3 linked regions of the Coturnix japonica genome follow. The protein of the gene in region 2 binds, or shares a complex with, the protein of the main gene of each other region. Links are inferred from orthologs where the notes say so. Each region holds a gene or a part of one and is shown on either strand. Other genes may lie near its edges.

Evidence for each region.
Region 1: NUP43 (region 2) and NUP37 share a complex: the UniProt entries of both Homo sapiens proteins name them as parts of the nup107-160 subcomplex of the nuclear pore complex. The link is inferred for Coturnix japonica from reciprocal best matches to the Homo sapiens genes NUP43 and NUP37.
Region 3: NUP43 (region 2) and SEH1L share a complex: the UniProt entries of both Homo sapiens proteins name them as parts of the nup107-160 subcomplex of the nuclear pore complex. The link is inferred for Coturnix japonica from reciprocal best matches to the Homo sapiens genes NUP43 and SEH1L.

What each region holds. Positions count from the first base shown.
Region 1 is NC_029516.1:56,800,344-56,804,617, forward strand, and holds the start of NUP37 (nucleoporin Nup37), read right to left. Parts: upstream 2,834-4,274; 5' UTR 2,723-2,833; intron 1,013-2,722; 5' UTR 949-1,012; coding exon 793-948; intron 291-792; coding exon 166-290; intron 1-165. Other genes in the region: PARPBP (PCNA-interacting partner), read left to right, coding at 4,003-4,152. UniProt on the Homo sapiens protein: Component of the Nup107-160 subcomplex of the nuclear pore complex (NPC). The Nup107-160 subcomplex is required for the assembly of a functional NPC.
Region 2 is NC_029518.1:43,395,589-43,399,939, forward strand, and holds the start of NUP43 (nucleoporin Nup43), read right to left. Parts: upstream 2,847-4,351; 5' UTR 2,801-2,846; coding exon 2,681-2,800; intron 2,563-2,680; coding exon 2,440-2,562; intron 2,179-2,439; coding exon 2,101-2,178; intron 1,343-2,100; coding exon 1,165-1,342; intron 1-1,164. UniProt on the Homo sapiens protein: Component of the Nup107-160 subcomplex of the nuclear pore complex (NPC). The Nup107-160 subcomplex is required for the assembly of a functional NPC.
Region 3 is NC_029517.1:87,390,129-87,393,687, forward strand, and holds part of SEH1L (nucleoporin SEH1), read right to left. Parts: intron 2,925-3,559; coding exon 2,826-2,924; intron 2,190-2,825; coding exon 2,049-2,189; intron 1,834-2,048; coding exon 1,676-1,833; intron 1,002-1,675; coding exon 851-1,001; intron 1-850. UniProt on the Homo sapiens protein: Component of the Nup107-160 subcomplex of the nuclear pore complex (NPC). The Nup107-160 subcomplex is required for the assembly of a functional NPC.

The sequences.
Region 1 (4,274 bases), on a different chromosome or scaffold from region 2:
GCCTCTGATAACTTCTGAGTTCTTGTTAAGCTCATATTTAAGACTTTACTAGCAGTTGCTTCAGAGTTAGATTTCACTCATACACTTTTAACTTAGTTCAGTATTAAGGACTTAGGGAAAACAGATAAGTGACAAAGATTTCTTGTACTCAATTATTCTATATACCTTATCTGCGGAGGTAAAGCATCAAGTCTAGTTTCTGGGCTCCATGCTATGGCATCAACTCGGATTCCATGATGAAATGTTCTTAGAGTCTTATACTGAATGCCTTCCACTTCTGCATCCTCTTCCTATAGAGATATGACAATTAACTAATCCAGAATAACATCTTTATGACTTCTAACAATTTGGATTGATATGAAACAGAAAGGCTTTCCAAGTTTGATGTACCTGCTGCAATAAAAAGTTGACTAGAAGTGCACGAGAGTCTCAAGTCAGAGTCAAATACTGGGCACAAAAATCAGATATTTGTGCTACAAATAAGAAGTTTCCAGATAGTACCACTGCAAATGTTGGTGACTGCTAAAATTAGGTTATCCTCCAGAAAAGCAGTGCTGCTTTCATTGAAGTCAACTTGGAGGCATATCAGCAGGACAGTATTTTATTCTAATTTGTATTTCTTAGGAAATATCCCAATTCATTAACATAGTAATTGATTAATCTAGTAAACGCTTCCTGGTAAAAAAGAGAAGACAGGAAAGCAGTTTTAGTCAGCTTAGGACTTTACCAGCAGAGATGCTTGCTGAGTTCTGGGAAGAAATGAATAAAACCAACAAACTAACACAAACCAACCTGAAATCTGCATGTTCCAACAACCACGTAATTGTTGCCACCATATGCAATGAGGGAGCATGCGTCTCCACTATCAAAAGGATTGAATGTTATCACATGCACATAATCTTCACAGTCCACAGTGTAAGTGGCGTTTCTAAGAGAATCTTGCTTCATTTTCAGGGAACTGTATCAAGGTATCACAGAAGCGATGTCTTTTACAGGATGAAGGTTGACATTCCTATACAGAAAGTATTAAAGAAAGTGCATTACACATTCACATAAGAAAAAAGGCATTTGTGGCACAACAAATCAAAATTTCCTATGACGCTGCATTAATGGACACAAGGTGAAATTAAGCTCAATATCTATAGATTTAGCACATAATTCCAACTATCAAGGAATTAACAAAACTAATTAACCTCAATAACTAGCATACATTCAAAACCACTTCTAGAGACTTAATTGATAGCTACAGATTTTGTGTTACTGCTGGCAACATAACACCAGGATTAACTACACACAACAGAAAAGTCACATTCAGAATGCTTCAGTTTTCAACCAAATGTCAAAAAACAATGTATTGTTACCTCCAAGTTCTTTACCCCATTGTACTGCTTTTAAAGGACATCTATTTATCTATTTAAAAGCAGAATCAAGACTGAAAAGACAGCAGATGAGAACACTGTCCTGCAGAATACTTAACCATGGCTTCATGACTGAAGTCAACCCATCTGCACACAGAGCATAGCCCCTATGCCTCTGTATTTCAACGAAAGTAGTTAGCTTTCATCTGGGGCTGAAGTATACCTCAGAATGAGCACTGTACTGTATTCAAGCACTTTTCAAGACAATCAGGCTCCTGTGCTGGCACCAAAGCAGCTTAGATACACAATTGATTATGGAACCTTCCCCCTTAATCCCAGTGCAGATTTTATATTAGTTTATTCCTTTTGGAATTTTTTTTTCTTTTTGCAACATTGAAAAATAGCTTTAAATTTCTCAGTGTATTTTGCTGTTAATGACCTGATGGTCTCAGAATCCAAGTCACAACATTTTGCTTGAGTGCTACCACAGGTTGTTGTGGACATCGCAGATATACAAATGCACCTTACATCTGCAATATTTGTTCTTTGATTAGCAAGATACACTATCCCACTGATATATATACTTCAGGCACATAACTTGCAGAGACATGCTCCTAAAGCCAAACACAATTTGTAACCTAATCTGTAACCGTTTTCCTTAAAGCCTTCCCAACATTGAATCATAGAATGGTTTGAGGTGGAAGGAACTTTTAAGTCCATCTAGTTGAACATCCCTGCAATGAGCAGGGACACCCACAGCTACATCAGGTGCTCAGCCTGACCTTGAGTGTCTCCAGGGATGGGGCATCCACCACCTCTCTGGGCAAACTGTGCCTCACCGCACTTACTATAAAAGACTTCTTCCCTTAGATCCCACCTAGGTCTCCTCTTTTTCAGCCTGAAACCATTTCACCCTGTTCTGTCACAACAGACCCCACTAAAGAGTCTGTCCCCTTTTCCTACAGCCCCCTCCAGATACAGAGAGACTGCTGCCAGCTCTCCCCAGAGCCTTGTATTCTCCAGGCTGCACAGCTCCCAGCTCCCTCAGCCTGAGAAAAGCAACTCTAGACTAACTTTAACTAAAAAAAAAAACAACCAACAAACCCTGATATTCATTCTTTACAGAATCACCACACGGACAACTGCGCCAACCCCTCACACAGACACACACAGACATCTCCATTCAGGGCTCTGCAATGCTTACTGAGAAAGCACAGCCTCACAACGCTACAGGGCCTCATAGAAGGCGGCCCAATCGCCTCTCCACGACCCGCTCGCCCCTCGGGACCCATCCGACCGAAGCATTGCACTCCCTCCCCTCAACCCGAAACAACCCCCCCCAACCCGAGCCGCCCCACACAGACCTCCACAGCCCCAGCCGGCCATACACACGCTAGTCCCCGCCAGCCGGCACCTCCCGCCCGTGTATCGCCGTGTGCTTCCGGGTCGGGGCTCGAGCTGCCTATTGGGCATCTGCCGAAGTTTTAAATGAAAACCGCCGATAGAGGATAGAGGTTGCTGGGCCTTCCGAGCGGATGGTGGAGTGCTTGGTCTCGGTCTCCTGGTTGTGCAGGTAGTGGCTATAGGCGAGCGAGAGCGCCTCAGCCGGCTGAGAGGGGCTTGGGTGCAGAGTAAACGGCTTAACGTGCTTAAAAGGGGAGCGACTTTAGGGAAGCCCTTGAGGTGCTTAAGGCTGGGTTGGATGGGGGCTCTGGGCAGCCTGGCAACTGAAATAGATAACGGAGACTTGCTGCCAAAGGGAATGGCAAATATGGTGACTTAAGGGAAGAAATGCTAAAAAGGCTTTGTATGTAGGTGACAAAAATACTCAAAAGTGCCTTCGTTAGTAAGTTGTGGAAACAATAGCAGATCTCTTGTTTAGGGAACCATTCTAGTAGATGTTGGTCTGAATGTGATGTGGTGAATATGAAAGGTGCTCTCTGGTGGCATTCAGGCTGTCTCGGTAGAGACAAAAGACTGTCCTGTCAAATTACTGTTATTATCATAGAATCATAGAATGGCCTGGGCTGACAAGGACCACAATGATCACCTAGTTTCAAACCAGACCAGGCTGCCCAGAGCCACATCCAGCCTGGCCTTGAATGTCTGCAGGGATGGGGCATCCACAGCCTCCTTGGGCAACCTGTTCCAGAGCTTCACCACCCTCTGAGTGAAAAACTTCCTCCTAATATCTAACCTAAACCTCCCTGTCTCAGTTTAAAACCATTCCCCCTTGTCCTATCATTATCAACCCTCTTAAACAGTTGTACCCCCTCCTGTTCATATGCTTCCTTCGAGGTTTCCCAGGAGCCTTCTCTAAGCTAAACAAGCCCAGTTCCCTCAACCTCTCCTCACAGGAGAGGTGCTCCAGCCCTGATACTCTTTCAAGCTAGTAAATATGCAAGGAGGACATGTCTTTATAAATATGTCATTCATGAGCGCTTTCTATCCCTTCTCGTGTAGTTTTTCTATCATTAGTGAGGTAAGTCTTGCTTGACAATGGGTTTGTGGGATAAGTGCGTTTTGTGGACTTAATATGGAAGAAGAAGCAATAGCATACACACTTAAGGTGAAGACATGCACAGGCCTCTCATGTTTGTGTGTTTACAATCATTTCTCTTAATTCTGTGTTCTACTTTAGGCAATGATTTCTTTCCAGCAAAAGATTTTAAACTTAATCAAATATTTCAGAAGACAATGGCCCTTATTTTCAAACTCAGAAAGAACTACTGTGTGTGGAGCAGATTGCATGCTGACAGCATTACAACTGTCCATGGCTGAAGTCAATAAACAGGTTAGCATTCTTTCTATATGTTCTTGGAACTTGGTGTATCTTAAACTTGGTGTGCTTGCTAAACTTTTGGTTTATCTATGTAAAACAATTGCTTTGCTCATTTCACTATTGTTTTTGATCTG
Region 2 (4,351 bases):
CGAAACATTCTGTGCTGGTATCCATTTATAAATGAAAACTTGAAATTAAAATAAACCTTTTTAACTAATTACTTTTTTCCCCTCAGTGCTGAAGAGTTGAAGAGTTACAGGGTTTTGGGTTTTTTTTGCGTGTTACTGATAAAACTCTGCCTTGTGCAACTTCTGTGTTTCTTCCTATGTTTTAAAATGACTTCCTGCAGTTCTCAGAGAGCTTCAGTAAAGAACTGTATGCAATTAATAGGATTTGCTTTGTGTGTGCATGTATACAGCCCTGCACACACAAATACCCCCCTCCAGAAATCCCAGGGAGCTTCATTCCTTAATTGGCTTATCACTGTCTAAGTTCCTTCATCTGTTCAATCTGAAGCAAGATTTCACTTGAGGAGAAACACAGGCAACGTGTCAAACTGAGGTTTCAGGGAGAAAGTTCCATTATCAATAATGCTGTTACTGCGCTTCATATCATTTCTGCTTTTGTTTTCCACATGCTACTCCATGAAGGCAGCAAGATGGAAATGCTGAGAATAAGCTTTGACACCTTCCACAAGCACTTGTTACTCTATTAGATAATTCTATCTCAAGAAACATGAACCCATTTCACTAAGTGAGAGATGACGGCTGTGAGCCATGGCACCTGGTACAACAGGGGACAAATAGTAACTTCTGGCTCCTTGTGCTCCTTTAGAACACACAAATTCTTTTCCACACAAATTGATGGTTTTGAGTATGGATAACACAAGGCTTAAGCTTACTATAAATAATGAATTGAAATGACAGTAGTTACCGACCCCTGCTTATAAACAATTGATGACACGATGCTTCTGGAAATAGAACTATCTCGTGCATTCTATCAGAGCATTTAATGACTCCAGATCAAACAGAAGCATTCTGGGAATGTTAAATCTTAAAACATCTCCACCAGTTAAAACATAACTTACAAACTGAATGCATATAGAAACATATCTGAAACATACTTCAAATACTTGTAAGTCTGGAGGAATGTAGGAATGACCTGGAGGAAATACATTCACCTTGGGATATTGAATTCAGTTCTCAATTGCTTTCCTTTCTGTCACACAATATTTTGGCTAAAATAAATATTCTATTCTATACACCAACCGAGATGTTCCAAACCAAAACATGCTGAGCATTGACTTGACATACCTATAGTCCTCACTGCATCCTTTTGGTCAGCTCTGAAGAGATTAATTCTACCATCTTCTCCGACAGTGACAATTTCTGGGTTGTTGCAGATGACTCCGGTACACGCTGCTCCACCACAAGCTGTGTATTGATCCGCGTGATAATGGGCGTTCTCCCACCGGTGACTGGCAGATAGAGTCTAAGTAGCAACCAGACATGAGATTCTGCTGGTAAATAACGATCCCGATTGAGTAAAGCTTTCGGAATACTCACAAATACTCATACAACTGGAAAGAAGCTCCAGGAAAGCCATAGTACCTCACTGCAATAGGAATCTTCTACATAAATAAGAACCAGAAATCTGAACTTCCTTGGTCTCCCTTCAGTGAGGCACTGTCTGCTCTGAACCATCTCTTTCACACAAGAGAGAGAACTTGGAATTAATAGGATCTATGTCTGAATATGAAGTATCTCTCACTAGACTTAGCCTCCAATCTTTTCCTAGGACAAAGAAATAGAACTTGAGCCTTTACAAAGTGTAAGATCAGATTTAGATTCTGATTGAAGGAAACTCGGTTTATCCTAAGTACCACATGAAACTATTAACAGATGTTAGTCTTTGTTGTGCCATGCAAATAAATAAAAGTACAAGTTCACTCATTCCCACTCCCTGAAATTATTTATTCTCATATATATAACCGCATAAAAACTCAAGTACATTTTTAGTGAGTGGTCTATTGCTTACAACATATTAACAGAACCCAATCTGTCTGGCTCTGGAATCTGATTTATGCTGTGTGTGTCGAAGATGTTTTTCTCCCTGTGCAGGTACAAAACCAAATCTACTTCTAAAATGCTTTGAAGAATTTATTGCTGACTCTGGATGCCTCCTGCTTTTAATTTGAGAAATCTCACGCTGAGATCCAAGGGACCCGCACTGCAGCTGCAGGTGCCTACCTGGTTGTTCTGATGATGCCGGAACACAGTCACGCTTCCTGTTGATGAGGCAACAACAATTCTCTCTTGATCCAAAAACTAAAGAGATTAACAAGCACGTTATGAGTTGATATCAACACCAGGATGGTGATTTTCAATTCAGAGTATTCAGATGTGTGGGTAGGTGCAGTAAAACACCCACAAACTGATACTCATTTAATTTGCCACTCTTCATAACTTTCTTTGTTAAAAGCCACAGAATGACCCGGGTTGGAAGGGACCTCAAGGCTCATGTAGTTCCAACCCCCAAGTCAGCTCCTTGTCACCCCGTTTGCCTCAGATGACGAGCAGCTCCCTCACCTGCATGTCCATCACGTCTCCGTTGTGCCGGATGTCACACAGCAGCTGAGGCTCTCCTTGATATTCCCCATTGAGGTCCGCGCTTCCCGCATCTCCCACAGACCACACGGAGATGCGGTTGTCCTGCAGGGAAACGACACGGCCGCTTTTACCTGTGGGCTGCGGACAAGGACTCCCCGGCGCCTGCGGGGCCCGAGGCGGGGGAGGCAGCGACCCGCCCGGTAAGGCCGTGCCGCGTTACCTCGTTGTCCCAGGAGCCGGTGGCGAAGAGCTCCGGGGGCTGCAGCGCGGCGGCGGGCAGGGGCCGCCATCGGGCCTTGCTGATCTTCTGCGACACGAACCGCGCGCACACCTCCTCCATGGCGCCGCACGGCTCCCGCCGCTGCCACGAGCCGCCTGATTGGCTGCGGCCCGACGGCGAGCGCCGAGGGACAGCGCCGGGAGCGGCGGAGAGCGCGGGCGGGCGGGCGTTCTTTTTCACCTCCAAATAGTACGCGGCCGAACGTTTGTGTATCACAAGCAGGATCCCCAGGGCAGCACTGACAGCCCCGAGGCAGCCGGAGCTCAAGGAGCGTCTGCATGACACGCTCAGACCGAGCTAGGGCGTGAATCCGGGTGGTGCTGCGCAGCGCCAGGCGCTGGGCTCTACGATCCCTTTGGGCCCCTTCCAGCGACTCATCACCAGAGCCATGAACAACTGCTGTGCACAAAGTTCAGGGGTCAGCTGTAAAGCGAGCTCCGCGATGACACGGCCGGGCCCATAGGCCATTCCCACAGGCACCTTCCCACTTCTTGCTGTGTTTTCTCACAGCTCGCACTGCCACTGGTTCTTCTCTTTGCTCAGGAGCGCTTGATGGAAAGCATTTGAAGGGAACTTACTCCCAGGAGGGGAGTAAACTCTTCGAAAGGGCTGACAATAGCAGGACACGGGGAAATGGTTTTAAGTTGAAAGAGGGAAGATTTAGGTTGGATGTTAGGGGGAAGTTCTTCACTAGGAGAGTGGTTAGGCCCTGGAACAGGCTGCCCAGGGAGGTTGTGGGATGCCCCGTCCCTTGGGAGGTGATTCAGAGACCGCAAGGTTTGGACGGGGCACTGGGGCAACCCTGATCTAGTAAAAGTCGTGTCATGTTCTGTTTTGCGGCCGGCTAGCCAGGCAGGGGGTTGGAACTACATGATCCTTGAGGTCCCTTCCAACCCAGGTCATTCTGTGATTCTGTGATTTGGGAAGCACTAAATCGAGTAGGAGGGGCACAGACTGTTTACACTGGGATGGGAAAAAGAAGCAATTTTTCTTCCCTGTCTTGTTTTTTTTTAAGTTTCTTTTGGCAGCACGTTCTGTGTTGGATTTAGGGCTGCTTTGTAGGCCTTTAATCTCCACATTTGATCATTATAAAAGATGGGTACTGTGTTAGCACGTTATTTCAGTATAAGATCAAATTCAATTAAACAAGTGAAAGAGAGAAACAAAGACCACAAGACAAAATGCCTCATCAAGCATTACTCAGGTTGTCAATAAGGACTTTAAGAGCAGACAATGCTGGTTCTGGGCGCTGGGCCCAAACATGCAGCAGAGGCAGAAATGAGTTTGTATGGGTTCACAGAATCACAGAATTATCAAGGTTGGAAAAGATCTAGAAGATCATCCAGTCCAACTATCACCAATACTTCCCAGCTAAATCATATCCCTCAACACAACATCCAGACGTTTCTTGAACACTCCCATGGTCGGTGACTCCACCACCTCCCTGGGCAGTGCATTCCAATGCCTGACTACCCTTTATGAGAAGTAATACTTCCTCATGTCCAGCCTGAATCTCCCCTGCCGCAGCTTAAAACCATTCCCTCTAGTTCTATCACTGATTACACGAGAGAAGAGGCCAACCCCCAGCTCACTACAACCCCCCTTCAGGAA
Region 3 (3,559 bases), on a different chromosome or scaffold from region 2:
TAGTGCTTTACTGATGGGCATTTTAAATTAAAAGAAAAAGATTTCCATTGGTAGCTGTATATGGATGGAAATGAAGGCATCTGGGGAAAAACTAACAGAGGAGGGCAAAGAACCTGGAAGATTCTGCTGTGGGATTTGGTCACACCAAGCCCTTCTATGGCACACATCCTGTAAAGCTCTGTACTCACTTCCCCTTACAAATGCAGGACCCAGAAATTTCTAGAGCTGAGTGTACACAAACTAAAAGCTGGTTTTGGTTAAGGCAGTTTAATTCACCTATTCAGTAGCAGTTAAAGAATAAAAACATAGAAAGCAGTAACAATTCCACTTGTATAAGGAAGATTAAAAAAAAACCAAATTTTTACTCAAATGATGTTACACCTGCAAAAATGCAAGTAAAATAAACAAACTCCAGCCTATGCTTGTTGCAGACCTATGCTACAAAGTGTCTTTCTTTTCCTTCTTCCATTCTGCTACACTATCCCAGTCAAAAACAGATTTTATTGCTGGTATTTTCGCTTAACTTCGATACGTGCATCTAAATGGCAGTTACAAAGCAGTATGATCAATTTCTCCTGATTCAGAACTACTTCAGGAAAGTTTTTAAGAATGCAAAAAGACTGCAAGTAAAAACCATTGCTTCCACTGCTTGTTTATACAAGGTAATTCCTCTCACTACTAGCATAGCAGACACTGACACAAAGCAAGGCCAGAATAGCTTGCAGTAGTATTCGTGCAATAAGTGACACCACACTTTAAAAGAATACAAGACATGAAAACTAAGTGAAATTAAGAAGATTCAGAGAAGAAAGCATTTGCTGAGATCCAGTCCCTCTAGCAGTTAGCCTACCTGCTGGCAGATGATCCATTTAGTGAATTCTGTAGGCTTGTATTGGCTGAACCAAGAGAGGCGTTAAAAATCCCCTGCTGGGAACCACCGTTGACTGGACTCCCGTTACCTTTCAGTATACCAGTACACTTCCAGTTGTCCATGTAATTAGCTGCAAATGTACACAGACAGAAACTGTTAGTTTGGACTCTGAAAGTTATGGTATTTCAACTGCAGGGTATCTGGTGTGAATTAGAAATCTACTTCAGCACCAACATATATATTCTGAGTAGCTGGTCCTTTAGCTGCTTGGCATCCTCTGCTTATCCATTATTTAAACCTACATTTTGTTCAGTGGTAAGAATGAGTTTGCTTTATCCTTAATAATAGGCCAACTGAGAAACTACTGAGAACAGATGAGGAAACTGCCTGAGTTTTGTTGTCACTGCTTGAAATTGGAACAGAAATATAAAAAAGCTCAAAGGGAATAAAAGAAGAAGCCAGATTGCCTGAATACTGTTTTAACAGAACACAGTTTCACAGGGTTTGGCAGCAGGCAAAGACAACAACTCAATACAAATTAGTTCCAAATAGTGACAATTTTACATAGCTGTGATCTGCTAAAACAATTCAAGGTTACCAGATATAGCACAGTAACAGCTATTCACAGAAACTTAAATCATGCCCATGTTCCAGCACTGTATTTGCTTTTTTGTCCGGAACATCAGTGTAAAAACATATCATTCACTGATCTAACAACCTTTTACACCAAAAAAACTTCCTTGAATACATTCAGCATAGCACAAAGCTGATGAACTTGAAGCAGAAGACCTGTAGAGTTCTTACCCTTCCAAAGCCTAACGCAGCCGTCATCACCAGAGGAGGCCAGCACCGTGCCCGTGATGTTCCAGCTGACTCGCCACACCTGGGAGTTGTGATTGTCAAACTGTGCCACGATGTGAATTTCAAACTTTGTTAATCCTCCAGATGAAGTCAGCTCTTTCCTGTTAAAGAGAGGAGGGACAGTTTTGCACACAACTTCTGGCTTGAATACGACGACAAAAAGAGGACTAGATCCTTCAAGAAATGTACTTAGCAGCTGTATAATACATTAGGAGTACTAAGAGATATCCTTTGCATCTCAGGTACTACTAAGAAAGACTCTACAGGATGCACCGTATCATACTGAACCATGCTCCAGTTGTCCTTTTAAGCTCACCTTAGAGGTTTTAGTGTGAAAATCCGTACATCTTTGGTTGCCACAGCTAAGATGTGAAAGGACCTTCCCAGATTTGGGGCAAACGCAATATCGTGCACAGGATCTGTGACTGTCATCAAAGCTTCTGCTTTCGCATATTTCCTGTTGGGCATGAAAAATTACCATTAGTGCCATTAAAACTGCCAGGCTCACTAATCATGTAAAGTAGACATAACAGAGCAGGGAAAAGGTGGTTGGTTAGGATACATAACGATGCACAGCTGTAATTATTTTAACATAAATTACATTCTAGCTAATAACTACAAGCTGATTTCTTCAGAAAGTGAATTCATCAGATACGTTAACTACTAATGTCATAACAATGAATGTATGGGAACTGTTGAGTCATGGCCTGAGCCACTGGATGATCACGTGGGGAAAGGACTTGGTCAGCCCTGGGAGCACAGGTGAAGGCAATTCAGCTGTGTGACCGGAAGGAATTCCTTGTGCAAAATTCTGCACAAAAACTTAGCAGAAGAATAAAAGCCACTTTCCCTTTAAAGTTCCAGTAGGAACACTAGAGTTTCTGTGCTGACAGAATAAAATTATCAAAATCTGCCATTTCCTTCGAAATCTGTTAGCATTCTGAGGTGCCTCTCCTGTCCAAAGCCTTACAGACAAAATTGAGGAGTATTATTATTTCCCCCTTCACTCCATAAGGAACAACAGGAACGAAACAGAAGGCTGGACATTACAAGCTATTCTAAGATCCCATAAATACACTGTTATTTAGCATACCTGGTATTTTCATTGTATTCATAAATCTGAACTTTAGCCAATATATTTGGACTGTTGTCGTCACTTCCGACAGCTATCATTGGAGAATGTGCTCTGGAGCTGGAAGTAAAAAGATACAAATTCTGTTACTAATTATTTCACAAGTAACTTCCAAAATTTAAGACACACCTGTATATAAAACAAAAAGATTGCCTAGAAAGAAATACAAAGTATCATTCATAGTTACCAGTACTACCTCAACTCTGTTCTCTTGAATGTCTACCTTATACAACAAATAAAGATAAACCATTAAGGGACACTATTTGGAATTTAGTTCAGGACAACAGATGCCCCCAGACATCGAGATTAAATTCATAGATGTGTTTGCAGTGAAGTTTGCTCTAAGGAATATGGCAGAATCCGCATCCAATGCAGTACTCGCAGTGACTGATTTAGGGGGGTTTCATTCAGATTCTGGAAAACCAGTTACAAAAGGTATACGAGCACTAGTTTTTAAATCAACTTTTAGCACAGCTTCTGAGGGTGATGTAGAGATAAAGCCTATACTCTTAACCTTTAGGACAGATGACTTATGTATTCTTCAGGGTGGGGACAACCCAACCATCACATTCCTCTGGTCTCTTTCTGACCAAGTAGGTTAAATCATGACTGAGCCCCTGAAGATACAACTAAAGGAATAATACAACCCTTAGGCTTTGTGTTAGTAAAACCTGTGGTTCCTAGCACTGCTAAGG